Linked DNA regions of Mus musculus. The protein of the gene in region 1 interacts with the protein of each later gene in a pairwise test. Links are inferred from orthologs where the notes say so. Each region holds a gene or a part of one and is shown on either strand. Other genes may lie near its edges. The genes, in order: Pnma5, 1110051M20Rik, Ccnc, Prkaa1, Wdyhv1, Vim and Zmynd19.

Region 1 (4,507 bases):
TAAAATTATAAGTAATAACAGGAGAGGAATATCACACATAGTCCCAAGTTGAAGTCATCAGCCTTGTCAACATCCATGGTTCCAGAACCAGGCTCAGGAACTCAGGTTAGCACACACATCTGCAAGAGAACAAGCAGCAGGCAGCTGGCCTAGATGTACACTAGGAAAGCTGACAAGGAGTTCACAACACCAGGTGGGTAAGAGAGCAGCTAGCGTAGCCTAGGCTGGCACAGAAGCTCACAACACGTGCCAGGGTGTAGAAGTGGCTGACCAGGTAGGTAGTCAGGGCCTCCAGTTGCCCTCACTCACAGCTTTATACAGGAGCAGCTGATGGTGGGTAAGCACGTGATAGGGGAAGGGACTCACTGGACAGCTGGGTCACTATGAGGTTAACAGATAAGGGGGCGGGGTTCCAGAGCAGGGGGCAGCCTGCCTCTGGACAGCAGTGGCAGGGGAAGGGGGAGAGGGGAAAGGGAAGAGGAAGGGGCATTTGTGTTGGGAGAGCCAGGCAGTTGGCAGAACCCTTGAGATGGCCTTTTCTGTGATGTCCACCTGTTTGGTTATGGGTGGCAGATGGAGGATGGCACCTCGGCAAAGCTGCCAGGCCACCCTCCAGGTCGGCAGGGTTTGGGGCCAGCCTTGGCAGCTGCCTGGCAGAGTTGTATTCACCTGCCTGTCCCTGCTTGCTCTCTGGAATTCTCCAGCAGCCCTGGACAAAAGAGAGCAGAACAAACTCTCCCCCCCCCCGCCCCCTGCCTGCCCCCGCCCCACACACAGAGTCCTCTTTCTGCTGCTCCTGTTTGCTCACACAAAACCTGTCCTGCACACTCCCAGGCTCTCAGGCCAGCTGAGGGCATTAACCCTGTGGTGCCATGTGCCCCAGCCTGGGGCTTTTCTCAGGCACTAGTGTCCTGTCAGGGTGTCAAGAAGGAAACTGCCTTGTGTTGGCACTTGCCTCCCGGGTCCTTTGGGTCCTGAGGCTTGCAGGTTTCACAGGAGCGGGGGGAGTTCACTCACGAAAGGACTCAAGGGTGCTGCCCTCATGGGGCTCCCCTAGAGCTGTGTAGATGATCCTGAAGACAGGCTGGATCCTGCGGCCTCCTCTCCTGGGTACTGTCTCCCTGCCTAGCCGTGCTTGTTCCCAGGCACTGGTGTCCTCTGCCCAAGACAACCCTGTGGCAGGCTCCTCCACACCCTGTGCTGCTTCAGTGCCAGTGGGCATTCTTAGCTCAGAACACCCATCCTCACCATCTTGTGACCCACTAGTATCCCAACTGCGGTCTGGATTACCCTGTGGTCTAGTTATCATACTAGCTCCCCATTTCAGTCTCTGACACTCCCCACGGTCCTGCCATTTGGTAGTCACTGAGCTGTGTGGAATTTGTTCTTGCTTGTTGGGATCATTTCTAGCTAGTAAGAAGTTGGGTGCCTTACCCTGGCCCTGTTGCCCTTCTGCAACACTCATGTCCCCTGTTCCTTTGTCTGGGCTGCCCCATGATTTTGTCAAAGTATCTCTGTTGCCTGCCACAGGAAGGAATTCCTGGCTGTCCTGAGCCTCTATTTCCTTGGGGTTAGGGTGGCTCACTGCCCAAGCCCCTCTCTCGTTCCCCGACTCCTGTGCTCTAACATAAGGTTTCTGCTCATCGGGTTCACTTTCAGCCCAGAAACCTGATTCCTTCCTCTGTCCCTCTTCCCCAGCACTGTGTCTCCAGAGCAGTCGCCTCCGTTTCACTGATGTCATCTCCTCTCCTGTGGTCTGGGTGCTGACCTCCCTAGAATCCTCTGCCTGGGTGACAACTTCATTTGCCGCCTCACATGCGCTGCTGTCCCTTCGTACCTGCTCCTGCTCCTCCACTACCACAGTGCTTTCCCACTCTTCCTCGTCTCGAGTAAGTTTCATTAATTCCAGAAAAGTAGGTGGGCACCCTTGCTGATCTAAGAGGGAGAGCTTTCCCCGAAGGCCAGTGGTCATGGAGACCTGAGATAAGACGTGCTTGAGACGAATTGAATCTGCACTGTGTGCTGACAGTGGGCTCTGCTGCACTGCTTTTTGCAGCAGGGGCTCTAAACGTAGCAAGTAGTCAGATACCTTCTCTGCAGGTTTCTGAGAAGACTGAAGGAACCTGAACTGTAAGACCTTAGAGTCCTCTTTATTTCCAAAGATGTGCTTTAGGGCTTTCAAGCACTGCTCCACGGTTAGGGAGTCATTGCTAGTCCACAGTGCCTGCATGATTGACAGGGCAGAGCCACGCAAGCTCTCTAGAAGGCACTGCTTCTTTTCCCTCTCGGACACCTGCCATAACTGCATCAGCTCAGTGACCTCCTCTAACCAGGTTTCAAAGCTTTCTTCTCCTGGGCCTGGAAAGGGACTGCCAGAAAATACTTTCAGTTTTTTGTAACATGTGCTATTATTACACAGAGACTTCAAGCCTTTTGGTTTGTCTTGGTCTAAATTCTTTAACTCTATTTTCCCTGTAGGAACAGTGCTAAACCCCAGGGCTTTGGCCACATCTACTATTCTCCGTCCTTCATCTCTTAGAAAGTAGATCAACTTATTCATAAACTCATCATCTGGGCTACGGGGTTTGACAACCACTTCCCAGGCCCCACCCTCTGCTGGTATATGAGTAGGCATCATAGTATAATCAACAACTTCAGGCAGTTCAATTAAGACTGCCTTAGCTTCATCTTCCCTCCTGAACATCCTGCCTATCACCTTGTATGCACACAAGGGAGGTAAGCCTTCTTTCAGAGCATCATTTATCGCAGCCTCAGTGTACTGCACGGGGATGCCCACAATGAGCACAGCCTTCTTGGGATCCAGATCCATCCCCTTACACCAGTCATCTAATAGAGCCACGGCCATTGTTCCCTCCCTCTATCAGCAGACCTAACACTAGGACTCAAAGATTCTAAACCAATGCCATATAGAAAGGCAGTGATGTCCTGGTTTCCACAACCTGAAATGCAAATGAAGTTAAGATGTTACTTAATGATTCCCATCACCTTTCCTTTTCCCAGACATTCAGTCTTGTTCAATCACAGAAAGCTCCCCAAACCTCACTGAACCCTGCTGACCTTTGGTTGCAGCAACCTCCTTGCAAGTCCAGGGACACTACTGTGCATTCTGCAAGTACCTGTGGGGAAAATGCCAATGTCAGGAGGCAAAGACCAATGCCAGTGGAGGAAAGAACAGGAGAGCACTCTGCCACCCACTCAGTGCTATATTGGATTTAACCCATTCCTTGTTAGGTTCAAGATTGGCAACACATAAACTCTCCTCCACCTGAAGAAATGCTCAACAGATAAGAAAGATGACTAGAACTCAGCAGATGTGATCACAGTGCTGAGTGCAAAGAACGTACGACAAGCTAAAGTATTGACATGGACACAAGAACAGTGTGAATCTAGATTTCTACCATAAGTTACCACATAGGTTAAGGCCTTTTATGGACAACAGGTGATGCCATGGTTCTCCAACTAATGAAGCATCTTAGCAACAGGTGTGGAGAGTAGGATAGGGCAGAGACTGAGGAGCGAGTGCTGATAAATTAAGCATATGGGTTTACAATAGTATGGAATCTGGAATCAGAGGCAAAAAAAAAAAAAAGACCCCAGAAAGTAAAAGACAACTCTCAGGTATGGCCCTACCCTGCAGTCTGTGAATCTTGGCAAGAAACCCCTTCACCAGTCTTCTGCTACAGTTAGAGGCTATTCCCAAAATAGATGCTCACCCTGCTGTCTTCTGTAGAGTGCCCCACTGAAGTGTGGCTATGGTGACTTTCCTGTGCTGGTGCTTGATCCTGGCAGTCTTCTGGCTCTATCCAGACAAGCAGTGCTGGTTCCTGCCCACTGATCTGTTCAAGGCAAGGCAAAGGAATATTTAACATGGTCTATCCTGAATGTCCCTGCCCACGCAGGCTGTGCTAATTCTGAGTCTGCTCAAGAATCTAAAGACAGCCCCTTGCTGGGTATGGCTGAGCACATCTTTAATCCCTGCACTTGAAGTAGGCTGGGGCTGATCTGTCAGTTTTGAAACCTAAGCGGGCAGTAGCTACTTTTTTTTTAATTAGATATTTTCTTCATTTACATTTCAAATGCTATTCTGAAAGTTCCCGAATATGTGGTCTTGCAAACTTTATATGCCTCAGTACGGAGGAATGCCAGGGCCAAGAAGTGGGAGTGTGTGTGTGTGGGGGGGTATGGGGGACTTTTGGAATAGCATTTGAAATGTAAATGAAGAAAATACCTAAGAAAGAAAGAGAGAGAGAGAGAGAGAGAGAGAGAGAGAGAGAGAGAAAGAGAAAGAAAGAGAAAGAAAGAAAGAAGGAAGGAAGGAAGGAAGGAAGGAAGGAAGAAAGAAAGAAAGAAAGAAAGAAAGAAAGAAAGAAAGAAAGAAAGAAAGAAAGAAAGAAAGAAAGAAAGAAAGAAAGAAAAAAAAGAAAAAAGTTCTTGCAGCCGGACGTGGTGGCGCACGGTGGCGCACGCCTTTAATCCCAGCACTCGG
Region 2 (4,652 bases), on another chromosome or scaffold:
CTAGTGAGTTTCAGGCCAGCCTGAGATATGTAAGACTCTATCTCAATTTTTAAAATTTTATTATTACTCTATTTACATTACAATAATAATAAGCCCAATATGAAAAATCATTAAATTTCTATACCCTCAAGCTGCATGGAGGAGGGGTAGAGGAAGGAGAAGTTAATTATTTTTAACAAAACTTGCAGGACTTCATATCAACAACTACCAACCTGGAAAATTCATTACCTCAGAACACCAAACACTGTCCCTTGTGTGGCTCTGTCCCTTTCTCCTTACCACATCCAAATTCAGAGTGACTCACAGGAGCCTAGAATTGAGACATATATACAAATTTAAGGGAAAGGGAGAATTACAAGGTCTGAGTAGCTCCTTTGGGGAGACTAAGAATAGGCCCCTCAGAACATAAGAGAAGAGCCTCCTCTTTACTTACTCCAGTGTAGGTGGTCTGTGGGATTCCCAGTCACTCCTTTGATGACATCAATTTCGTTTTCTTTCTTTGTCACAAAACCTCTCCTCTTTCGAAAACTTCTCCTTGTTGAAGGGGCAGGGACTTACTTCAAAACAAAACAAAACAAAACAAAACAAAACAAAAGTGAGGATCGAGTGGCTTTTTCTGCTAGGTTTGGACTGTGACACTGTACAGATCTCTTTCCTGTTCTTGCACAGAGAGAGGAGATAAGAAAATCTGGTTATTTGAAAAGAAAGGAATAGTCTTTCTTCTTCAGAAAGGATAGAGCTGAGGATATGTAATAAATGCTCTAGTTTCTGACCCATTTCCTTTGAGAAATGAAGTGACTTTGTAGGAAAAAGGAAAGGCACTTGGACAAGATGTCAAATAATAGGAAGTAGAAGCAGTCTCAAACGGCTAAAGGGAATTTGAGAGGAATGGTCATTAACTTACAGAGGACTTGATGAGTAGTTTTAAAAATTGCATTTTACCGGGTGTAGGGGCACACACCTTTAAAACATTAAAACCTCTGAGAGCTGCAGGCTCAGGCAGATCTCTTAAATTCAAGGCTATCCTGGTCTACACATCAAGTTCTAAGCCCGACTGGGCAATACAGTGAGACCCTGTCGAGATATATATTTGGGGCAGGGGATTTGTGGAGGTCAGAGGACAACTTGGAGGAGTTGGTAGGCTGTTTTCACCACATGGGGTCCCTTGGATTGCTCAGTGGCCCTTAGTAGTATCTCTATGCTAAAGACGTATCCCCGACCTCCAGAAGCTGCCAAGATACAAAGAACATTTTGTACCAACTTGAAAGAGTAAATCCTAAAAGTGATTAATAATAGATAATGAGATCTCAGTGTTAGGCGAGGCCATACATGATCATTATTGTTAGAATAAACAGAAACTATGAAATCCAGAAATTGCAGATATGAGCCACTGATAGTAATTCTTCAGCATCACAAAATACGACACATTCAGAGAATTTAATTCACAGATTCTAAAACCAAATCCCAAAAATAGGAGTTAAAGAAAATCAGACTCTAAGTGACTGCTTCCGGAACTTGTGTGATAGGCTCTACGTTGCCAGTCGGAGACTGTTTACGTGACACCCTCTCAGCCTTCTAGTTCTCCTCTGGCCGCCTGGGTGCCATGGCAACAGAGACAGGCTGTAACCTGGGTTCCGGAAGAAGAAAGCTGGAGCGTGGAAACTACCCGGTCAAAGGATGCTGAGTCCCGAGCGCCTAGCTCTACCGGACTACGAGTATCTGGGTAGGGGCTTTTTTCAGCGTCGGGAAAAGAAAGGAGTAATGTGTTAGGGGAAGGAGTGGGTAGGAGACAGGGGCGGAGCCTGAACGGTAGCGGGTCTGGATGGGACGGGAGGACAGAAAGAAGGGGTTCTAGGGCCTGAGCCTGAATGTAGGGCCAAACCTGGATGAAAAATAACATTTATGGAGTAAAGAATGGCTGAATTATATGGACTGGCTCTCAGGCAATGAGGACTGCATTCTAAGTAACACAATTAAGAATCTGAGGCCCCAAACAAGGCTATTATTGATAGGTTTGTATTGACGCAAACTTGGCATCTGAAATGACTTCAGTCATTTTGTAAATAATAATTTTGCCTTCATAGTGCACGGTTATTTCGAGCTTTTCATTTTCATTAGGCATTCTGCACGAGGTAAGCATTTTGCATGCAGCATTATCATAGAAGGGATTGCTGTGTTTGCTACTTTACAGATGGAGACACTAAGGCTAAAGAGACAATTGCATAAGACCTCATACAGTTAGTATTAGGATCAGATTTTCCCCTTGCAGAACTTGACCTTACCCTTGAGCTAAGGCTGTGTGGTACTAAGTACTGTACTTTGCTAAGCACCCTGCAGTGAGTGTGTAACACATTTACTGTATACGTTTGTGTATACACTTATTTTTTTAAAACATTTTTTATGATATTTATTTTTTATTTATATAAGTACACTGCAGCTGTCTTCAGACACACATTAGAAGAGTGCATTGGATCCCATTACAGTTGGTTGTGAGCCACCATGTGGTTGCTAGAAATTGAACTCAGGACCTGTGGCAGAGCAGTCAGTGCTCTTAACCGCTGAGCCATCTCTCCAGACCTTGTGTATACACTTATATGCACACATACACATTTAAAAGTTCATAGCTTAAACATTTAGAGTAGTTTTAAACTTAAAGAGGACTGAGCTGATAGTAGAGTTTTTTCCCTCTGTATCTTCTATTTAGCTTCTATTATTAATTTCTTGTGTTAGTGTGGTACATTTCTTGCAACTGAATATTAGCTCAGTGTGATTACCAACAGCCTATAGTTTATATTAGGGTCCACTCTTTGTATTGTACAGTTTTCTGGACTTGGACAAATTCATATTCTCATATATCCACATTAAGATGTAAAACAATCTTTTCATGGTTAAAACTCCTCTGTGCATCCCCCATTCATTCACCCCTCTCCTTGCTCCTTTCCTTTCCATGACTGATCTTATTGACTTCTAAAGTTTTGCCCCTTTGAGAATAATGGGAATCATTCAGTGTATAAGCTCTTCAGATGGCCTCTTTCGTGTTTCAGTAGGTGTTTAGGTTCCCCCTTGTCGTTTTGTGTCTTGATACTCATTTCTTTACATGGATGAATAACATTTTATTATATGAATGTACCATACACATTTTAAAATAAAATACAACTCTGTATACATATTTTGTTTATGTTTTGAGAATTGATCTCACTATGTAGCCTTGGTTGGCCTTGAACTCACAGAGATCCTCCTGCCTCTGTCTACCCAGTGTTGGACTCAAAGGAGTGAGTTTCCAGACCTGGCAGATGGTTAAAATTTCTTGATCATTTGAAAAGTTGATTCAAAATTGTTTTTTAAATAAAAAGATATTTATCTTGGGGGATGGAGAGATAGCTTAGCAGTTAAGAGCTCTTGCTACTTTTCCAGAGGAACTGAGTTTGGGCTGTAGCACCTACCTACCTACCTGTGACTCCAGCTTCAGAGGACCCAAGGGCCTCTTCTAACCTCTGCATGTGTGTGTGTACACACACACACACACACACACACACACACACACACTGAGGAGGGAGGGAGGTGGAGAGAGACAGAGCGAGTGTGGGAGACCTAATTGAATAATTAAATAATTTTTAAATACAACAAAATGGATGGCTCCTGAGGCATGGCACCCAAGGTTGACCTGGACTACACACACACACAGTCACACATACATACACTCACAGTATCTTTCTCATACCTGAAGTTGTGTTCATACAAAAGAAAAAGGTGATAAAACAACTTCACATTAACTGATGCACATAGTGAGAAGTGACTGCAGCAGGAATCCTGCTGGATGAAACTGGGATTAAAGCCAAAGAACTGAGTTATAGCAGGAAGTGTGTCGGGACCAGGAGATCACAGCTTTTGTACCCAGTGGTAGCTGCTTCCTATGGAAGCATTTTCTTAAATGAGGTTCCTCCTGTCAGGATGACCTTAGCTGGTGTCAAGTTGACATACAACTACTCAGCAGAGTAATAGCACAAATAACTTTATATCTAATGCATAACAATGTCAACACAAACACTTTGGCTAAAGATTTTATGTATTTTTTTCACTTACTCATGAGCTTGCAAAATATTTGAACATCCTAATTCCTTGTTCAGTTCCTTGGATTTTTGCTATTTAAAGTACATATCTCAGAGGCGTGGTATATTGGTAGACTGCTACTTGGGGCAAAGAAGTTGGTCTTTTTCTAAGAGGCATAAGTGCAAGACTAATTTAGGGGCAGTGTTGACAGTCTGTGAGTAGATTCATTGTTTCAGGGCTCTTGAAAAGTTTCAGTGTTCTTGGAATTCAACTAGTCCTTGAACCCTGGACAAACGTTCCTTCTGCTCTGGTGTGTGGTTAACAGTCTTAATCTTAGTCTGCACATTCCACTGTCCTAAGCAAAGTCAAGCTGCTCACAGACTTCCTCATTGTTCAGCAAATTGTGTAACTGCTAAAACACATTTGTTTATACCTAAGAACTAACCCCGCCTATCACAACTTGGTCTCTAATAGAGACATGCTATTTTGAAGCATTCACTTTCAATGTAACAGCTATTAAAACCACTCCCTAGGAGCTGGGCATGGTGGCACATGCCTATAATTCCAGCACTGGGGCTGCTGAGGCAAGAGGATTCTGAGTT
Region 3 (3,905 bases), on another chromosome or scaffold:
TAGTTGAAGCCGGGCATGGTGGCGCACGCCTTTAATCCCAGCACTCGGGAGGCAGAGGCAGGCGAACTTCTGAGTTTGAGGCCAGCCTGGTCTACAGAGTGAGTTCCAGGACAGCCAGGGCTACACAGAGAAATCCTGTCTCGAAAAACCAAAAAAAAAAAAAAAAAAAAAAAAAAAAAGTATAGTGATAGTTGCACTGTGCATTTGTCAAATAGAAAGTATACAGAAATTTTTGAAGTTTTTTGTTTTGTTTTTTCAAGACAGGAGTCCTCTGTTTAGCTCTGGTTGTCATGGAACTCTCAAACTTGCTATGTAGACCAGGCTGACCTTAAACTCAGAAATTTAAAGGCATGTACCACTATGCTGGCTTAAATTTGAAGTTTCTAACATTTATAACTTTTTAATTTATTTATTTATTTCTTTATTTTTATAAGAATTCTCGTTGTGGCTTAGTAGCAAAATAAGTGTTTACAATATTAGAGACTTTGGGTTCAATTCCAAGACCCCCCCCCCCCAAAAAATATAATATACTGTCTTTTCCTCATAAGAATTTAAAATGTATTATATAACAGTAAAAAGCAATTTTTGCCAGGCATAATGGCACAAGCCTTTACTCCCATCCCTTGGGAGGCAGAGGTGGATGGAGCTCTGTGACTCTGAGGGAAGCCTGGTCTACATCATCAGACCCTGTCTCAAAAAACAAACAAAATTAGTAATTTTTTATTGTAAATGTTAATGCTAACATAAGCTACTGTGTTTATTTTTTGATTTAGAAATTTTATATAATATTGATGAATTATTTAATTTATCTGTATCTGTAACTTATTTTTTAAAAAGTAGTTATGTAATTATGCTTATTTTCACTGGTTTTTTTCTTTTTAAACAGATACTAGAATGTGAATTTTACCTCTTAGAATTAATGGTATGTATATTTTTCCATAACACAGCAAAAACTTGATGGGTTGTATTGAAAGGAGGTTAAAATTTAATATATCCAAATGATATATTATGGCAAAGTCATAGAAACATAAGAGTAACATCCCCTATTTCCTTTCTGAAGGCTGTAAAATAATTTATCTTACTTGGGCTGCAAAAAAATTATTTTTTAGTTTTCTTGTAACTTTAATAAGGGTTACAAGCAAGTAATCCAGGACCATTGTAAATTCTGTGTACAATTTATGCGTGTATGTAGAGTTAAAGATGGGTTAGGCTTTGTCAGCATCATGCCCCTGCAGTTGAGAAGTATGGATGTATAGCCTAGTAATAGGCTACAGTGTGTTGCAAATGTGGCCCTCTGAATCTCTAGGGAAAGAGTGGATGCTGACTGGGTACCATGTGATGTACCAAGGTGTATTCCAGAGGGAGCACTGCCTTCACTGTTACAGTAGCATACGGTCATATCTGAGTGAGAGTATAAAGAAAAAGAAAGCAAGTATGAGAAAAAGAAATTCATTTCAAACACAAAACAAGTTGTTGGAAAATGATACCATTTTATGTTGTAATACATCTGTTTTTATACGTACATATTTTTAAACTGTTTCTAGGACTGTTGCTTGATAGTGTATCATCCTTATAGACCTTTGCTCCAGTATGTGCAGGACATGGGCCAGGAAGACGTGCTGCTTCCCCTTGCATGGTAACTAGACCAGAAGTTACTCATAGGCTACTAGACAAGGGGGCTGACAACGAAATACATGGCTTAATATACTAAAATGTCCCAAGTCATTTTATATTTAGGAAGATATCTGCTTGTTAAATTTGAAATACTGTAGTAGTATAAGTTATAAAGTCATATATATATTGAATTACCTATTTGATAAGGATATCTGTCAATGTTTTGTATGAAAAACAGACTTTACATGAACATTAAAAATGAATTTACTTTTAAAATAATACATTTTGTTTACTTTTGACTTTTTAGAATGTGAACAACTATTTTACATTATCTGTTGTGGGGTCTCAAAGTGGAAACTATACTGCTACATGAGTTTTATATCCAGTAATGCCTGTCCCCTTGTTGTCACACTCATGCATTCCATTGCTTAGTCTCTGTGTGTCGTTAATCAAACAGGGATGTAAGTGTACAAAGATGGGAGGGAAATCTGGTTCTCTGGGGAAGAAGTTACAGTCGATGAAGCAGCTCTGCGTTTAGTAACGATAGAGTTTACGTTTCTACAGGAGGATAGTGAATGATACCTACAGGACGGATCTCTGTCTGCTGTACCCTCCGTTCATGATCGCTTTAGGTATGAAAATTTGCTGTGCCTTTATTGGATAACTATTTGTGCCTATTTAGGTCATCCTAGAATACATTTCAACTGATTTTTATGGGTTTTTGTAGGAGTAGACTAATCTTGAATGTGAGTTCTCAATGATATACACTACAACCATCCCAGATTAGCATTATTTTCCCCCTTCTGCTTTTTGGTAAGGCTTCTTCCCCCTTAATTCATTTAAAATAATTTTAACTAGTATCTAAGCAAAGTTTTTATTTGTTTAGGGAGGAAATTCAGAACTAAGTCTCCTGATACTATTTGTCTTATAAATAACTGGTTCTGTTTTCTATTTCTGGATCCAGTTAAATACTCAAGAACTTAAGGAAAAAAGCATTATGCTTCTGTTACTAGGAGAGCTTAGCTGGCGTTCTATGGTGTGTAGGAAGCATACAGTGATGGGCTCAAATTGTCTTGGGAGTTAAGTAGACCAGATTTAAACATTCCTTACTTTACAGTTGTAAAAACAATTTTTTTGAGTTTGTAAAAATTGTGGGAGGGATAATAACTTTATAAACAGTTAAATGATATATCCTGTAGAGCACCGGCTATCTATCTATTTGTACAAAGACTTAATATATTCTGCTCCCTTTTTTTCTCCTTCTCCTGTTGATTTTCATGACTCCTAAAAACCCTTCTCCTTTTTCTTCGTTTTCATTCTCCTCTTCCTTTTCTTCATCTTCTTCCTCCTCCATTCTCTCTTTTTTTTCCATTTATGTCTTTTTAATTTTTCTTTTACATTTTTTGGGGAGGGTTGTTTGTTTGTTTGTTTGTTTGTTTGTTTGTTTGTTTTGAGACAGAGTTTCTCTGTGTAGCCCTGGCTGTCCTGGAACTCACTTTGTAGCCCAGGCTAGCCTCGAACTCAGAAATCCGCCTGCCTCTGCCTCCGAAGTGCTGGGATTACAGGCGTGCGCCACCACCTAGATTTTGTTTTATATGTATGAATATTTGTACCCACATGTATGTATATGTAACACACACAAGCCTGAAGCCCATGAAGGCCAGAAGAGGGCACTAGACCCCCTGGAATTAGAGATAGTTGTAAGTCATCATGTGGGTGCTAGAAATTGAACCCAGCCGGGCGTAGTGGCACACTCCTTTAATCCCAGCACTAGGGAGGCAGAAGCAGGCGGATTTCTGAGTTTGAGGCCAGCCTGGGCTACAAAGTGAGTTCCAGGACAGCCAGGGCTATACAGAGAAACCCTGTCTCGAAAAACCAAAAAAAAAGAAAAAGAAAAAGAAATTGAACCCAGGTCTTCTGCAAGAGCAATAAGCACTCTAAACAGCTAAGCCGTCTCTCTCCAGTACCCCTTTTCAGTTATGTCATAAACATTGCTGGTTTTCAACCTTATACTAGAGGTTGATATAAATTAAACTTAACACTTCTGTGGCATTAGTGCCTTTTTTTAATGTTTTGTTTCTTTTTATTCATATGCATTGTTGTTTTGCCTGCCTGCATGTATGTATGAATGAGGGCATTGGATCCCCTGCAACTGGAATTACAGATAGTTGTGATCCACCATGTGGGTGCTGGGAATTGAATCCAGGTCCTCTGGAAGAGCAGCCAGTGGTGCTCTTAACCTCTGAGCCATCTTTCTAGCCCCTCATTGGTGACTCTTGTAAATTGCTGAA
Region 4 (3,905 bases), on another chromosome or scaffold:
GTCACAGTAAAGTAGTTAGAATGAAGTGCTTTCATTTTTGTCTCTGGTGGGCGAATTGAAAGCCAACCAGCTGTAAAGGTGGATAAGCCGCTGAGAACCTGCCTACTGCAGTACTCACTCCCGAGGAATGCTTTACTTAGGCGAACATTAAAAAATGTAACATGATGGGCAATCCTTGCTGGTAATTCTACACCTTCTCATGACACCATCTCAAGAAAACCAAACCAAACTAGACCGCACAGAGAGCAGAACAGAGTTACAAGTGTAACGTCACGTGTAGTTGTATAAGTATTCAAATAGCTGGCATTCATGTAGTAGCTTCATGTTTTATGAGGAAGGAAACTAAAGAAGTGGTCCTTTAAAAAAACAGACCAGCTGAATGTATTGCATGCCTATAGCCTGAGTATCGCACATGGATGCCAAGACAGGGCTATATAGGCCTGGTATCAAGGAAAATCGAGGTGAGGTGAGGGGCAAGAGGGTTATAAAAAGGGAGAAGGAAGGAGAGAGACTCATTTATGTTCAGTCTTGATCTAGATCTGCTAGAGATTGAAGTGTAAGACTGCTGAACTCTGAACTACTATCTAGCACTAAAGGACGGATGTATTTTCATTAGTTACTTTTTAAATAGCGTGAAAACAAAATTTAATTTGTGTTTTATTTCCTTGTTTTGTTCAAGGTTCAAGTTCCTCCTCCTCCTCCTCTCCTTCCTCTCCCTCCTCCTCTCCTTCCTCTCCCTCCTCCTCTCCTTCCTCTCCCTCCTCCTCCTCTTCCTCCTCTGTGATAGAGACAGTTCATTAACAAAGAGAAGGCACGCCTAAATTTGGAAGTGGGGTAGTGGTCTGGGAAAAGATATTTGCTTAAAGTTGTAAAATTTAATTTAAAAGACAGACTTTATTTTAAACCATATATGTATGTGTGTTTGTGTGAGGGTATGTGTACATTAGTGTAGGTGCTGACAGAGGTCAGAGCCCCCCAACCCCACCCCCCCAATCCTCACCCTTCAGCTATTGCTACGGGCAGTTGTAAGCTGCCTTGTGTGTGTGTGTGTGTGGGGGGGGTGAGAACTAAACCAGGGACCTCTATAAAAACAGCGCAGGTTCTCAATGGCTGAGACATCCCTCCAGCTCAGAGAATTTATTATTTTTTTCCATTTTTTAAAATTAGGTATTTACTTCATTTACATTTCAAATGATATCCCGAAAGTCTCCAATACCCTCCCCCAACCTGCTCCCCTACCCACCCACTCCCCCTTTTTGGCCCTGGTGTTCCCCTGTACTGGGGCATATAAAGTTTGCAAGACCAATGGGCCTCTCTTCCCAATGATGGCCGACTAGGCCATCTTCTGATACATATGCAGCTAGAAACACGAGCTCCGGGGTACTGGTTAGTTCATAATGTTGTTCCACCTATAGGGTTGCACACCCCTTCAGCTCCTTGGGTACTTTCACTGGCTCCTCTATTGGGGGCCCTGTGATCCATCCCATAGCTGACTGTGAGCATCCACTTCTGTGTTTGCTAGGCACCCGCATAGCCTCACAAGAGACAGCTATATCAGGGTCCTTTCAGCAAAATCTTGCTGGCGTAGAGAATTTATTTTTAAGATCAACGCTTTGGCTAGGCTTGGTGGTGCACCTTACCCAGGAGGTTAGACAGCAGTTTGTCTCCAGCTCAGGCTCCTTAGTGAGACAGGGCCAGCTTGGGAATAAATAAAATGCTCTTGCAAAAACAAGCAAGCAAAGAAAGAAATAAAAAACAAGTAAAAGTCAAAGCAAACAAAAACACATTGCTTCCTCATTGCTGCTGAAACACTAATGAGGTAGGGGAGGCCTGTTGCTCGCCAGTGCCCACAATCCCGTCCACCTCAACCATTTCCTTGTTTAAATGCTTCAAATGGTGATGGACCTAATTTAAAAAAAAATCCCTGTGCTTTCTATGTTCATGTGCTTATTTTTTTTTGACTGCTCAAAGAAAAGGTAATGAAGTGAATTAAAAAGATTCATTTGTGTTTTCTATCTTAATTCCTTTGATTTGAGAAAAATTCAAAATCTAGATGCTACAGGGAATATAACTAAAGAAAAAAGGCATGCGTCATGTTCAAGCATGCATAAAATGGGCTCTTGGGGAAATGTACAGTTTGGATGTCTTTCCTTGAGGTCTGTGTGAATAGGAGCACTCATTTTGAGAACAGTGTTTACTGCTGTCTATAGGAAGGAAGCACTCTCGTCACTCTGAGGGTTCGTTTTCCCCCTGAAGGCAGCCTCGGATGATTCAGCTGGTTTGCAGCTAGTTAGAATCCGTGTCTCCAGTGCTTCCTTCACGTAGACGCACTCACGCACGAAGAGGGCGAGTGTTCTGTGAGCTCCACTGCCCTTGGCTTGCTTCTGCAGCTCCAGCTTCCTGAACTGTGATGTGAGGGTTTTAGGAGAAATGGGTTCAGAGTCTGTCACTACAGACTTGAATCATGGGCCCAGCGAGTTGGCTCAGCTGGTAAAACATTTGCTGCCAAGTGCCTAGAGTCTGACCCCTGAATCCTGGGTAAAGGTAGGAGAGAACTGATTCCACAGAGCTGTCATCTCAGCTCCACACCCACTGTGGCATGTGCACACCATACACACGCACATGCATGTGCACACACACACACACACACACACACACACACACACTAAAAGTTACTTAAAGGTGAGGGTGGGGGAACAAAAAAGGTACTTAAAAAAAACTATCCCTGTGGCTCAAATCAACATTGATCATGATGGCTCAAGGGTTGACCTTATTGGTAGGAAGTTTGAGGGTCATAGTAAGGTAGTACAATTTGACCCATGGATCACAAGTTACAAAATAGCTTATTTTTAAACAGGTAATACTGATAAGACTAGTATCTTTATGTGTGATGTGCAACAACCACTATAGATACCATATTCTGACCACTGATTTCTTTAAAAATTATTTTCTTATATTTTTCATAAAGTATTTGTATTTGAAGAGTGTTGACCGATGCTTTTTGATATTGTGATTAATACAGTTAGCATTCTCTATGCAGATTGTACGCAGGCCCCGAGGTGGACATCTGGAGCAGCGGGGTCATTCTCTATGCTTTGCTGTGTGGAACCCTCCCTTTTGATGATGACCATGTGCCAACTCTTTTTAAGAAGATATGTGATGGGATCTTTTATACCCCTCAGTACTTAAACCCTTCAGTAATCAGCCTTTTGAAACATATGCTGCAGGTGGATCCCATGAAGAGGGCCGCAATAAAAGATATCAGGTAACTCACTTTATCTGCCTACTTGACCAACCAGCCAACAAACCATCTGTCTGTCTGTCTGTCTGTCTGTCTGGACTGTGTAGTCTTGGCTATCCTGGAACTCACTCTAAAGACAAGGCTGGCCCTGCCTCCCTCTGCCACCCGAGTGCAGTGCTAGGATTAAAGGCGCGTGGTATTACCATTGCACAGCAATATTAGGTGATTTTTAAACCAATGTATTTTTCTACCTTTTCGAGTCTCTAGATACCAGAGAAATTTCATTTTATTTTTTATTTTTATTTTTATTTTTTTTTTTTGGTTTTTTCGAGACAGGGTTTCTCTATATAGCCCTGGCTGTCCTGGAGCTCACTTTGTAGACCAGGCTGGCCTCGAACTCAGAAACCCGCCTGCCTCTGCCTCCCGAGTGCTGGGATTAAAGGCATGCACCACCACGCCCAGCTGAAATTTCATTTTATTAATGACACACTTTTCTTGTGGCAATATACTTTGAGTCATAGGAAATTGATTATTGTGCTCAATTGAGTATTGAGAAATGGCTGCATTGTGTATCATGGTTTAACCTGATAGTTTAAATAAGGCATGACTGATAGTGGCAGCTGTGCTTCCCGGGTTGCGGTAAGTCACGTCTCATGAACACTCA
Region 5 (3,905 bases), on another chromosome or scaffold:
CTCACAGGCTGGCGAGCCTAGAGTCCACAGTAGGGCAATAGAAACAAAAGAAACTCTGCCTCCACAAGGCAGGTGAGAAGCAACACTACAAGATTGTGTTTTCCCCTCTGTGTGCACCTGCTACTCAGGCACGCACACGCAGTAGACAAATCATAAAATAAATATTCAGAAAAAAATACTAAGCCTGGTGTGTGTGTGTGTGTGTGAGAGAGAGAGAGAGAACACGCAAGAACTCACACTAAATCTTGAAGCCTTCTCTAGATAAACTAACAAGGCAACTTATACTTTTAATCAGTCTCCAGATAAGTCAAAAAAGCAGCCAGGCTATTATGTAATACCTGACACAAACAACCTAAATGGGGAACTGTTTATTTTGGCTCATGGTTTCAGAGACTACAGCAAACCAACCCTATGGGAAAGGCATAATGCCGGGAGTGACTGTCCACAGCAACAAGAACAGGAGGCAACTGTCCCTCACATGACAACAGGCTAGGAGAAAGAGAAAAAGAGAACACCCGTCAAAACCACAGGTAGGTAGGTAGGTAGAACCTTCAGGGCCCAGTCCCAGTAACTCACTTCTGCTACCTAGACCTCAGGTCTCATGGGTTCCACAACCTCACAGAACAGCACCCCCAGCTAGGGGATGTCCATAGTGCTTCTACCCCAGGCATCCTTTCTCAGAAGATCCTTTTACTAACTATTGTCATAGCCTTTCTCTAGTGTCACTTCAATTCTGTAGTCTCCACTACAGCATACTGGTCACTCAGAGGCCACACAGAACAACGCATCAGAGATGCTCGGGTGGCCATCTTACCCAGATCACAGGTCCATTCTCAGGTCTTGCCTGCTGTTTCCAAATAGGTACCTACAAAATATAGGATATCCGTGAGTTTCACTCAAATCCTTGTAGATCCTCTAAAGCAGTACACTGATGAGCAATAAACTAATCCTCCGCTGGGTGAGCAATGTGGAGGACTTGCTGCTCTTGCAGAGGACCCAGGATTTGTTCCCAGCATCCACAGGGCAGTTTAGCAAATATCTGTAACTCCAGTTCCTACGGACTCCAACCTTCTCCTGGCTTCGGTAGGTACAGTGCACACAAGGTACACAGACATATATGTAGGCAAACACACATACATGTTACCCCCCCTCAAAAAAAAAAAAAAAAGACAATCAGTCAAGCATGCTCTCACATACCTTTAATCCCAATACTCAAAAGCAAAGGCAGGTGGTTCTCTGTGAATATGAAGCCTGGTCTACATAGTGAGTTCCAGGCCAGCCAAAGGTCCATAGTGAAACCTTATCTCAGAAAAAAATAATTAAACTAACTAAATTAAAATTTAAAATAAAAAATGTTGGGGCTGGGGGCCGGGGGCTGGAGGCTGGAGAGATGGCTGAGCAGTTAAGAGCACTGACTGCTCTTCCAAAGGTCCTGAAATCAAATCCCAGCAACCACATGGTGGCTCACAACCATCTGTAATGAGATCTGATGCCCTCTTCTGGTGTGTCTGAAGATAGCTACAGCATACTTAGATATAATAATAAATAAATCTTTAAAAAAAAAATGCTGGGGCTAGAGAGATGGCTCAGTGGTTAAGCTGTTCTTCCAGAGGACCCAGGTTCAAGTCCCAGGACCCACGTGGCGGCGCACAACTGTCTATAACTCCAGTTCCAGAGGAACTGACACTCTCACACAGACATACATGCAGTCAAAACACCAATGCACATGAAATAAAAGTAAATAAGTCTCTTTTTAAGAAATGAAAATGTTTATGTGTCCTCCAGAGAACAGAAAGGCTTGGATTAGCCAGGCAGTGGTGGCGCACACACCTTTAATCCCAGCACTTGGGAGGCAGAGGTAGGTAGATTTCTGAGTTCAAGACCAGCCTGGTCTACAGAGTGAGTTCCAGGACAGCCAAGGCTACACAGAGAAACCCTGTCTCCAAAAACCAAAAAAAAAAAAGGTTTGGATTGGGAGACACAAGGCCAGTCAAGTCATGCCTTCCCATTCAGTTAGTCATGAGACCTCTTTGCATCTTTCCTTCTTCATGTTTTTGGGTTGTTTTTCGAGACAGGAATTTTCTGTGTAGCCCAGGCTGTCCTAAAACTCACTCTGTAGATCAGACTAGCCTTGAACTCATAGAATCGCCTGCCTCTGCCTCCGCCTCCCAAATGCACCCACCACTGCCTACCTTCCTTCTTCACTTTTATGTGGAGAAAGTTAGCAGGCCACGGCATTACATGCCTGTAATCCCAGCCTTGTCTACAAAATGAATGTGCGGCTACAGTGCCTTAGGTAACATGAGCCCTGTCTCTAAAAACAGAAGTGAAGTCACTAAAATAAATCTTGCCTGTTTCATAGAACTATTAACCCCAAATGAGACAACACAATGGGTTACTTCTAATGAGTCACAAAAGTTTACTACAGCTCTACTTAAACTTCAGAGACAAACCTTTACTTCAAATCCGAGTTACATGACTCTAACAATACAATTTTTTTTTTTTTTTTTTTTTTTTTTTTTGGGTTTTTTGGTTTTTCGAGACAGGGTTTCTCTGTATAGCCCTGGCTGTCCTGGAGCTCACTTTGTAGACCAGGCTGGCCTCGAACTCAGAAATCCGCCTGCCTCTGCCTCCCGAGTGCTGGGATTAAAGGCGTGCGCCACCACGCCCGGCTTAACAATACAATTTTTAAAAAGCTCTAAGCCATACACAGAGCATACCTATAATCCCAGTACTCAGAAGGACACTAAGTTTGTGGCCAGTCTGGTCTACACAGTGAGTTTCAGGTCAGCCAAGGTCTACACTTTGACACACTGTCTCAAAAAGAAAGGAAGGGTACGCAATCTGCATAAATATACCATCACATAGTTCATCTCCTAGGAGTAAGGGAATGAATACTTCTAAATTGAATCTAAATGAAAATAATGTTTGAAAGCTTGCTGTTCCAAAGCATATAGACAGCACAGCGTCAATACTGCACTTGGCTTCTGAGGTCCCCCTGAACCTCATCTCCTTCTGCAATCACTTACCAACTTACCATCTTCTTCTCATTTGATATGAAGACTGCATAGCACTCCTCCAACAGATACTGGTTGTGTGTCTTGATGTACTCACAGAGCTTCCAAATGTTTTCCTCACTGAAATCAAACAATCGTTTAATCAATATAATTACAAGTGAACAGCTGTCTTTTGGATTTAAACAAAAAATTGATGAGGATATAACTAGAGAAGACCTTAACCACCTCCTCTGACAGAGGGCTAACAGGTGGCTTTAGTACAGTCAACAGCTGCTAGCCAACCTGTATGTGTGCACATGTCCAGAGGGCCCTTACCTACCACAGAAGGCTGACTGTGGCCAGTAACACACTACCTCAGGACTCCAGAAGCTGAGATAAACAACTTTGCATGTTCTGGCTTCTCTAAGCACCTACTTTTCTCCTCTGTAAAACTCACATTCTTACACCACGCTATAACCCTTTACAAATCCCAGTACTGGAGAGGCATATCTCTTCGAATTCAAAGCCAGACTGGGCCAAATAGTAAGGACCTGTTTCAAAAATAAATAGGGCTGGAGAGTTGGCTCGGTGATTAAGAGTGCCTACTGCTCTTCTAGAGGGTCCTCGTCTGATTCTTAGCACCACATTTCAGCTCACAACTGCCTGTAACTCCAGCTCCAGGGAAATCTGACACACAAACACAAACTCATATACACACTCACATACATATATAAATTAAAATAAACCAAAAACATTTCAATTTAAAGACGAAAGAAAATAAAATAAAGAAAAAGAAATCATTTTTAAAGTCTTTTTAGAAGCTGGGCAGTGGTGGTGCATATCTCTAATCCCAGGACTCGAGAGGCAGAGGCAGAGGCAGAGACAGGGAGATCTCTGTGTTTGAGGCCA
Region 6 (4,500 bases), on another chromosome or scaffold:
TTGCCTAGAAGCAAACGTGAAGCAATAGCCTTGAGCTGGTCATTTTCCCTTTGAAAAGGTGACAGTCGCTGCATCTCAACACTCTGAACCTTTTGTTTTGTGGACAGTTGTCGCCATTTCAAGTTAGATTTCATGATTTTTCTTTGTGGAAAATAGGATCTGTGGCGTTGCCCAGACAAGTCACTAGAATCTTCTCCCCTGCATCGCTGCTCTAAAATCTACAGAAATCTGTTTCTTCAGTTTATCACTTGAGCTACATAACTGCCTTTCTTCCGAACTCATTCACCGAATTGGATTTTTTAGCAAAACCCAATGGTTTCTTGTCCGACTTGCTTATCTTCTAATGCAGTCCACTTTCAGAAAGGCCGAGATCACTGGGCTTGCTTTTGAAATTACCAAAGTAGTTTCCTCTTTCACCCAGAACTTAGGGTGTGGTTTCATGCAGGAAAGAGAGAGAGAGAAAGAAAGAGAGAAAGGGGGAGGGAGGGAAGGAGGGAGGGAGGGAGCTTTTGTCGTCAGGGGTGGGGATGGGGGTAGGGGTGTGTGGATGTGTTTTGTGGCTCTCCCGGGTCTGCAAGAGTTTCTTTCTAAGGAGAACTCTCCACACTTCCCCAACAATCACAAGAACGGTTATTCTCAAAGTTGGTTTAAAACTTCGGACAATGAATGAGCTTAGCGCTCTTGGAGTCTGGAGTCAATCTCAACTAACGGTTTTCCTGAACCGCTAGACGATCTCACCCTCAGGGCTCCATGAGTCATATCCACTGACTCAGCGACCCCACCCCGTCCCCTGGGCTTTACTCCAGAGGCAGTGGCTCCTAATCCTCTCTAGTTGAACTGAGTCCGTTAGATCAGGGGATATGACCACGTCAAACAAGCCCTCTGCAAAGGTCTTGAGCCAGATATCTTGGGCTGTGTGCTTCTCCACCCCCAATCTCGGGCCCTCTTTGTTTCTCTCTCCCCGGCTTCCGATCTGCAGGACTGCTTTTGCAGGCTCTTCCTGCTCCTCCGCTCTCGGATCTCCCCACCCACCCAGTCCCAGAAGACCGCAGATCTGCGACTGCGACCACGCCCCTCCTACCAGCGCGCCTAGTCCCACGCCCCTTTGGCCCAGTGCCAGGGATCGCTTTACTCAACTTTCCAGAGCCCCCCTTCCTTCCCCCATGAATCCTTCCCGCGATCCCTTCTTTCTCAGCACCCAAGGGTGAGTAGAGAGTTCGGGTGATCACCAGGAAAGCCCCTGAAAGGCCTAGCACTTCCAATTAGTAACAGGACTGTGCTTGATACCCTACAGCCCTGGAGGAAGGCTCGAGGGGAGCTCCCTCCCCCACCCCCCTTCCTCACTTCTTTCCGGGTCCCCATTGGCTGGCTCGCTCGGCGGCTAGGATGGCAGTGGGAGGGGACCCTCTTTCCTAACAGTGTTATAAAAGCAGCGCCCTTGGCGTTGTCCAGTCCTCTGCCACTCTTGCTCCGGGACCCCAGAGACCCCAGCGCTCCTACGATTCACAGCCACCGCGCCCTCATTCCCTTGTTGCAGTTTTTCCAGCCGCAGCAAGCCAGCCCACCTTCGAAGCCATGTCTACCAGGTCTGTGTCCTCGTCCTCCTACCGCAGGATGTTCGGTGGCTCCGGCACATCGAGCCGGCCCAGCTCCAACCGGAGCTATGTGACCACGTCCACACGCACCTACAGTCTGGGCAGCGCACTGCGCCCCAGCACTAGCCGCAGCCTCTATTCCTCATCCCCCGGTGGCGCCTATGTGACCCGGTCCTCGGCAGTGCGCCTGCGGAGCAGCGTGCCGGGCGTGCGGCTGCTTCAAGACTCGGTGGACTTCTCGCTGGCCGACGCCATCAACACTGAGTTCAAGAACACCCGCACCAACGAGAAGGTAGAACTGCAGGAGCTGAATGACCGCTTTGCCAACTACATCGACAAGGTGCGCTTCCTCGAGCAGCAGAACAAAATCCTGCTGGCTGAGCTCGAGCAGCTCAAGGGCCAGGGCAAGTCGCGCCTGGGCGACCTGTACGAGGAGGAGATGCGGGAGCTGCGCCGGCAGGTGGATCAGCTCACCAACGACAAGGCCCGTGTCGAGGTGGAGCGGGACAACCTGGCCGAGGACATCATGCGGCTGCGAGAGAAGTAAGGCCTGACCTACGCGAGTGGTGGGGTGTGGGAGGGAGGGGAGTCCTGGGCCTTGCACTGGGGCTGCCACGCCCTTGGGGATGTGGCTGGGGTGGCGGTTGTCTGGAGGATAGCAGAGGAAGCGGGCCCCACCCTGAACCTAAACTTTGCAGTGAACATTTCTCTTTTCGCCTCACTCAAGCACTTCCATTGAACTTTTTAGAAAGTTTCTTAGGTCCTTCTTCTGGGCTTACAGTTACCAGACAGGAGGAAAGAATGGGTGTGAAGGGTTCCAGACAAAGAGATGGCAAAGGCATCTGGGATATTGGGACAGGGGATTGGCTGTAATTGTAAGGGAAGGGCAGTGATTGTCTTTTCCAGTGTGCCCCAACTCCAGCTAACACCTGCAGAGAGCTGCCACCTCGACAAGTTGCAGTAACTACTGTGGGTGGAGGTGTCACAGCAGCTCTGGACTCAAGGCTTGGCGGCATTTGTGGTTGGGTGTGGCCGCCCCGCCCCTGGCGGTTTTCCAGTTCCCCTTTGATTAATGTGCTGCTGCTTCAGATTGCAGGAGGAGATGCTCCAGAGAGAGGAAGCCGAAAGCACCCTGCAGTCATTCAGACAGGTTTGTAGACTTCTTTTTCACATGCAGCCAGCAGCCCAATGGAGCCAACCCGCGAGCGGTTCTAAAAGTTACTTCCCTTAGGTTTTAAAAGGTGCAGAACTTCACGTCTGCTTGTAAAGCCCCCTGGCGGCGGAAAGCGCACAGATTGAAAAACTCCACTATTTAGGGCAGTCTTTGGAACATGAAGGCTTTATTTTCTGCTTCGTTTCCAGATTTTTCTGATCCCCCACACCCCCGAAACATTTCTCCTTTCGTTTTTTGAAACATATCGACATTCGGATATTGAATGGTTACAATTTGATTACATTGTGGATTGTGAAGGTGAAATTGGCTAACTTTCACAAGGTCATAAAAACCACAGTTGCTTCCTCCAGTTGGAAATGTAGAATACTCTGGAGGATGAGAAAGTTTAACTGGAATTAAGCCAAGTTCCCTTTCTTCCTTCGAAGTTCGGCACTGCGTGAAAGTTAGCAGAAGAGTCATTGCACAACCATTTTTGAAATCTAACAAGGGTGAAAAGAAGCCATCTGTTCCCGTAGCTCAAGGGTGTTAAAGGTTTCTATGGGCTTCACTATGGAATGTAGATAGGGACGTTCTGGCAAATGCGGTGGCTCTGGACAGAAAGAATAGGGGCCTTTGTGTTCCCAGAGCAGCTTTGCAACAGGCTACATTCTTATTGAATATGTAATGATGTAACCACAGTTCCAATTGGACACAAGTATTTGCTAACATCCATTATCTTGTGTCTGGGCCAGGCTTGTGAGGTATGCCGTGTACAAAGTTCTTAAAGCTAAAGTCCTCCCTCACATTTGGAAAGGCCCCCTTTTAGGGGGGTTTGTAGACTCATTAGCACCCTCCACAAACAAAATTAAACCCTAAACTGAAGAATGGAGTATTTTATGGAGGGAGGATTTGTTTGTTTGTGTTTGTTCCAGGGTTAGGCATTACCTTAGCATCCCGAAGTGGACAGATGGCCAGTTCAGTCTTGTTTGGAACACTTGTTAGGATCAACAGCCAAACTCTCCAGATGAATGTTCTAAGGTAGCATTCTGAAGGCATTTGCATCCTTAATGGCAGTAGACGAATATGCAGCCCCTTTCAGTCACTGGGCATTTTCAGTCATCACCAAAGGAATGTTTTCTACAAAGCACTGAGTTAATACACACCATCTCTTATTTGTGGACTAAAAATTGTTTCATTCATTCATTTAAATGAAATGACACATTTAGCTGAACTTTTTCGAGAAGGTTAGTCCAATATCATTTATATATTTTTTGATGGCTTAGCAGAAGTCAGAAATGAATGATACTACTATTTAAGTTCTTATATTCTTTTTTAAATTAGTATTTTCTTTGGGACTGATAGAGTAACTCAACATTATAGTTATAAACTATACTGCAAATACAGTTGCTTACAAGGGAAGTTTCCAAACATTTCCTTGAAAGGAAACAACATTTCACATGCAAGATTGAACAGTCTGTCTTAAAATAGATCACTTTATAAAAACTCTGCAGAGAAGTTTAAGTATAGTTTCATTGTAAGTGTTTTGATCTGTCATCCTAAAACAGACAAAGTCATTGAAATAACACTGTGACAGCTGGGACAGGCAGAAATACCCTATAGGCTGAGCCAGGGTGTTTTACACATTAAAAAAATTAGAGAAGGCAAAACAATATAGTTCAGGATTATATTTCTTTTCCTTCTTGCCCGAGGAGCATATCTCTGCAAATGCAAGACCTGGATTTTGAACAATGA
Region 7 (3,500 bases), on another chromosome or scaffold:
TTTGGTGTGTCTGAAGACAGCAACAGTGTACTGACACACACACACACATATATATATATAATATAAATAAATAAAACCTTTTTTTTTTTTAAGATGAGCAGTCAGTGCTCTTAACCACTGAGCCATCTCTCCATGCCTGGCTCATAAATAAATTCTTAAAAACAAAATGTTGAAAGAAGCCAGGTGGTGGTGGCACACACCTTTCCTCCCAGCACTTGGGAGGCAGAAGCAGGTGGACTTCTGAGTTCAAGGCCAGCCTGGTCTACAAAGTGAGTTCCAGGACAGCCAGGGCTACACAGAGAAACTCTGTCTCGAAAAAAAACAAAACAAAACAATACAAAAAAAAAAAAAAAAATCAACTGAGAAATTAACCCCATCGGACTGGCTTGTGTGTATGTCTGTGGAGCATTTTCTGGATTAATATAGGAGGGACCAAATCATTGTGGGCAGTACCACTCTTAAGACAAGTTGGTCTGGATTGTGTAAGAAAGCAAACTGAGCAAGCAATGGAGAGAACACCAATAAACAGTGCTCCCAAGTGGTCTCTGGTTTAGTTCCTGCTTCCAGACTCCTGCTTGAATTTCTGCTCTTAATTCTCTCAACAATAGATTGTGACATTGCTTTTGGTCATGGTATTTTATCATACTAACAGAAACCTAACTAGGACAGCCCTAAACTGACTGCTGGTTGCTCACAGGTGAGCGCAGCAGACTGTGTGGGACTTTGGAGAGGCATAGCTGATTTCTCCACAGGAGCTGCTTAATTGAGCCTTATGAATAACGCACTCTCCCTCACAAGTACTGGCCATCCTCCTCTGACACAAATGCCCACAGTACCAAGCACTTCCCTCCCAACACACACATTCATTATCCCCATCTTCTACTTCCCCTTACATTGGCATACCAGACATGCTCATGGATCCTGGTCCAATCTGGTCCTGCCTCTGCTAGTAAAAGGTATGTACTACTACCTACCTGAAGGGCACAGCCTCCACCAAACTTATCTCTGAAAACTGGCTGAGAAAAGGTCCAACAGGCCACCTGACCAAACACCTCAGCCCTCTACCCCTAGAACTGTAACTGCCCCTTTCTGAATAGGCTTTAACTGTGGTCCTATCATGATCATAAGGTGTGTTCAGGAGACTAAATAGAGCATTCAGCACAGGACCCTACTGAATAGGATGTCTGCCTCACAGGAGGAAGGGCAACATCAGTCTCAGTTTCTCAGCTACACAGCAAGTTGAGGTCAGCCCAAGATATACAAATCTCAAAAGAAAGATGGAAGAAAGGATGGACAGACAGGAGTGGTGAAAACAGAACTGAAGACTCAAAACCTCTGACATCAGGTAGACAACAAAGGAAGGAGATGAGAGGTCTGAGACCCTCCTAGGGCTGCCTTCACATTCTGCCAGAGTAAAGCAGCTTGGCACCTGTCTTCTAAAGACCTGGAGACCAGCACTATCAAGTACAGACACATACTCGCACATCTCCTCCCTACAGTACATGGGGCACTAGCATCACCTGAAGACATTCACTACAAACATCTACCCACTGTCTGTAATGACAACCTTGTCAATACTATTAGTATCCGTTGAGGTGGTAAATGCCAAAGAAGGTTGCTTAAAGACTTAAGAACTAGACGGGCGTGGTGGCGCACACCTTTAATCCCAGCGCTCGAAAGGCAGAGGCAGACGGATTTCTGAGTTTGAGGCCAGCCTGGTCTACAAAGTGAGTACAGCCAGGGCTATACAGAAAAACCCTGTCTCAGGAAAAAAAAAAAAAAAGACTTAAGAACTTGTATACAGGGCTGGCGAGATGGCTCAGTGGTTAAGAGCACCGACTGAGCTGGGCGTGGTGGCGCACGCCTTTAATCCCAGCACTCGGGAGGCAGAGGCAGGTGGATTTCTGAGTTCGAGGCCAGCGTAGTCTACAGAGTGAGTTCCAGGACAGCCAGGGCTATACAGAAAAACCCTGTCTCAAAAAAACCAAACAAGCAAACAAAGAACTTGTATATAGCCAGGCAGTGGTGGTGCATGCTGTTAATCCTAGCACTTGGGAGGCAGAGGCAGGTGGATTTCTGAGTTCAAGGCCAGCGTGGTCTACAGAGTGAGTTCCTGGACAGCCAAGGCTACACAGAGAAACCCTGTCTCGAAAAACCAAAATAAAAAAAAAAAAAAAAAAAAAAAAAAGCTATTTGTACAGATACTTCCAGGCGCCCTCAGGGGACGCCTATGAGCAGAACAATGATACCTGTGTGGCTTGGGACTATGAGGTCAAATTTCCCTAATCATTTCCTGCTGGTCCCTCCAGCACCTCTCCAGGGCTTCCTGAAATTCACTGTGGTGAGTTTGAGGGTTAGTAGGAACATGGCCTCCAGGATAGAAAAGCTTGTACAATGCTGTTTTCAGGACCACAGGGAACTGAGAAGCCAAGAGGTCACATCCCTAAACTACACTGTCCTACTACTTCCTCTGCTCAGGGAAAGCTATTCACCAAAGGAGACCCACCCTGTCTCAGTGTGGTCCTGGGGCATGGTCTCATTCCATCACATCAGCTAAAATATTCTTAGAGTCAATTACTACAAGGTCAATCCCAAAAATTAATCATAAAAATCCTTCTGGCTAAGCATGGAGGTATATATGCATCTTTAATCCTAGCACAGGGGAGGCAGGAGGAGGACTGCTGATTTCAAAGTCTGGTATTCATAGCAAGTCCTAAACAGCAAGGGCTACCTACATAAATGAAAGATTCTTCCCTTTCCCATGAAGAAGAATTCTCACACATGGCCAGTGGTGGGTTGGGTATCAAGGTACCGAAGCACTCATAGTAAAAGCACAAAACAGGAACACAGAAACATGGGACAGCCCTTCAAGTATCAGGTGCTGACCAGAGAAGACCCACCTTTGTTTGCTGGAGGTCTCTTCAGCTTTGGGTCGCCAGCCCCATGGTACCAGCTGCAGGTTGTCCAGGCGATTGTCCACAGTCACAGCATTGAGATGTACCACCTGAAACCCGGGAGCCACACCTCCCCTGTGTCGTTCCCTAGGGAAAGACATTTTTCTTGAGGGTGAGGCCTCAAGCACCTCTATTCAAGCATCAATACCCAGCCACACAGGAATACCAGTTATCTGGTCAGAACTGGGCCCATATTCTGAAGTGGCATACCAGGAGGAAGCCAAGCACATCATCATGGCCCACACAGACAGGGAACTTGCCTCAGAGGACAATAGAGAGAACCCTCAAACCAACAAAATTATCTAGAGTTAAGTTTCCCATTTGGATACCAACATTTCAAACCACCTTACCCATCTATGATCAATGACCCCGTTTCTAAGGATGTAACCTATGACTCACCAGAAGGATCCATGGGTCTCATCTCATCAAAATCCCACTAGTTGTTTAAAGTGATATGTACATTAGTCACTCCTTTGGGTTAGTGGCAAAGCTCACAAACTCCCAGACTTAAAGAAGATAACGTTAGTCTGACTACTTTGGGTAGAA

The links.
Region 2: the proteins of Pnma5 (region 1) and 1110051M20Rik interact in binary tests that used the Homo sapiens proteins (3 or more experiments, as listed by UniProt). The two-hybrid records come from large-scale screens. The link is inferred for Mus musculus from reciprocal best matches to the Homo sapiens genes PNMA5 and CSTPP1.
Region 3: the proteins of Pnma5 (region 1) and Ccnc interact in binary tests that used the Homo sapiens proteins (3 or more experiments, as listed by UniProt). The two-hybrid records come from large-scale screens. The link is inferred for Mus musculus from reciprocal best matches to the Homo sapiens genes PNMA5 and CCNC.
Region 4: the proteins of Pnma5 (region 1) and Prkaa1 interact in binary tests that used the Homo sapiens proteins (3 or more experiments, as listed by UniProt). The two-hybrid records come from large-scale screens. The link is inferred for Mus musculus from reciprocal best matches to the Homo sapiens genes PNMA5 and PRKAA1.
Region 5: the proteins of Pnma5 (region 1) and Wdyhv1 interact in binary tests that used the Homo sapiens proteins (3 or more experiments, as listed by UniProt). The two-hybrid records come from large-scale screens. The link is inferred for Mus musculus from reciprocal best matches to the Homo sapiens genes PNMA5 and NTAQ1.
Region 6: the proteins of Pnma5 (region 1) and Vim interact in binary tests that used the Homo sapiens proteins (3 or more experiments, as listed by UniProt). The link is inferred for Mus musculus from reciprocal best matches to the Homo sapiens genes PNMA5 and VIM.
Region 7: the proteins of Pnma5 (region 1) and Zmynd19 interact in binary tests that used the Homo sapiens proteins (3 or more experiments, as listed by UniProt). The two-hybrid records come from large-scale screens. The link is inferred for Mus musculus from reciprocal best matches to the Homo sapiens genes PNMA5 and ZMYND19.

The regions. Positions count from the first base shown.
Region 1 is NC_000086.7:73,034,209-73,038,715, forward strand, and holds the start of Pnma5 (paraneoplastic antigen-like protein 5), read right to left. Parts: upstream 2,896-4,507; 5' UTR 2,867-2,895; coding exon 1,010-2,866; 3' UTR 956-1,009; exon of another isoform or gene 751-955; intron 120-750; 3' UTR 1-119.
Region 2 is NC_000068.7:91,441,640-91,446,291, reverse strand, and holds the start of 1110051M20Rik (UPF0705 protein C11orf49 homolog), read left to right. Parts: upstream 1-1,577; 5' UTR 1,578-1,677; coding exon 1,678-1,723; intron 1,724-4,652. UniProt on the Homo sapiens protein: Regulator of the tubulin polyglutamylase complex (TPGC) that controls cytoskeletal organization, nuclear shape, and cilium disassembly by balancing microtubule and actin assembly.
Region 3 is NC_000070.6:21,741,069-21,744,973, forward strand, and holds part of Ccnc (cyclin-C), read left to right. Parts: intron 1-886; coding exon 887-922; intron 923-1,544; coding exon 1,545-1,636; intron 1,637-2,178; coding exon 2,179-2,246; intron 2,247-3,905. UniProt on the Homo sapiens protein: Component of the Mediator complex, a coactivator involved in regulated gene transcription of nearly all RNA polymerase II-dependent genes.
Region 4 is NC_000081.6:5,171,168-5,175,072, forward strand, and holds part of Prkaa1 (5'-AMP-activated protein kinase catalytic subunit alpha-1), read left to right. Parts: intron 1-3,040; coding exon 3,041-3,265; intron 3,266-3,905. UniProt on the Homo sapiens protein: Catalytic subunit of AMP-activated protein kinase (AMPK), an energy sensor protein kinase that plays a key role in regulating cellular energy metabolism.
Region 5 is NC_000081.6:58,147,566-58,151,470, reverse strand, and holds part of Wdyhv1 (protein N-terminal glutamine amidohydrolase), read right to left. Parts: intron 3,138-3,905; coding exon 3,038-3,137; coding exon of another isoform or gene 3,030-3,037; intron 866-3,029; coding exon 815-865; intron 490-814; exon of another isoform or gene 1-489. UniProt on the Homo sapiens protein: Mediates the side-chain deamidation of N-terminal glutamine residues to glutamate, an important step in N-end rule pathway of protein degradation.
Region 6 is NC_000068.7:13,572,857-13,577,356, forward strand, and holds the start of Vim (vimentin), read left to right. Parts: upstream 1-1,454; 5' UTR 1,455-1,575; coding exon 1,576-2,138; intron 2,139-2,684; coding exon 2,685-2,745; intron 2,746-4,500. UniProt on the Homo sapiens protein: Vimentins are class-III intermediate filaments found in various non-epithelial cells, especially mesenchymal cells. Vimentin is attached to the nucleus, endoplasmic reticulum, and mitochondria, either laterally or terminally.
Region 7 is NC_000068.7:24,952,777-24,956,276, reverse strand, and holds part of Zmynd19 (zinc finger MYND domain-containing protein 19), read right to left. Parts: intron 3,042-3,500; coding exon 2,901-3,041; intron 1-2,900. UniProt on the Homo sapiens protein: May be involved as a regulatory molecule in GPR24/MCH-R1 signaling.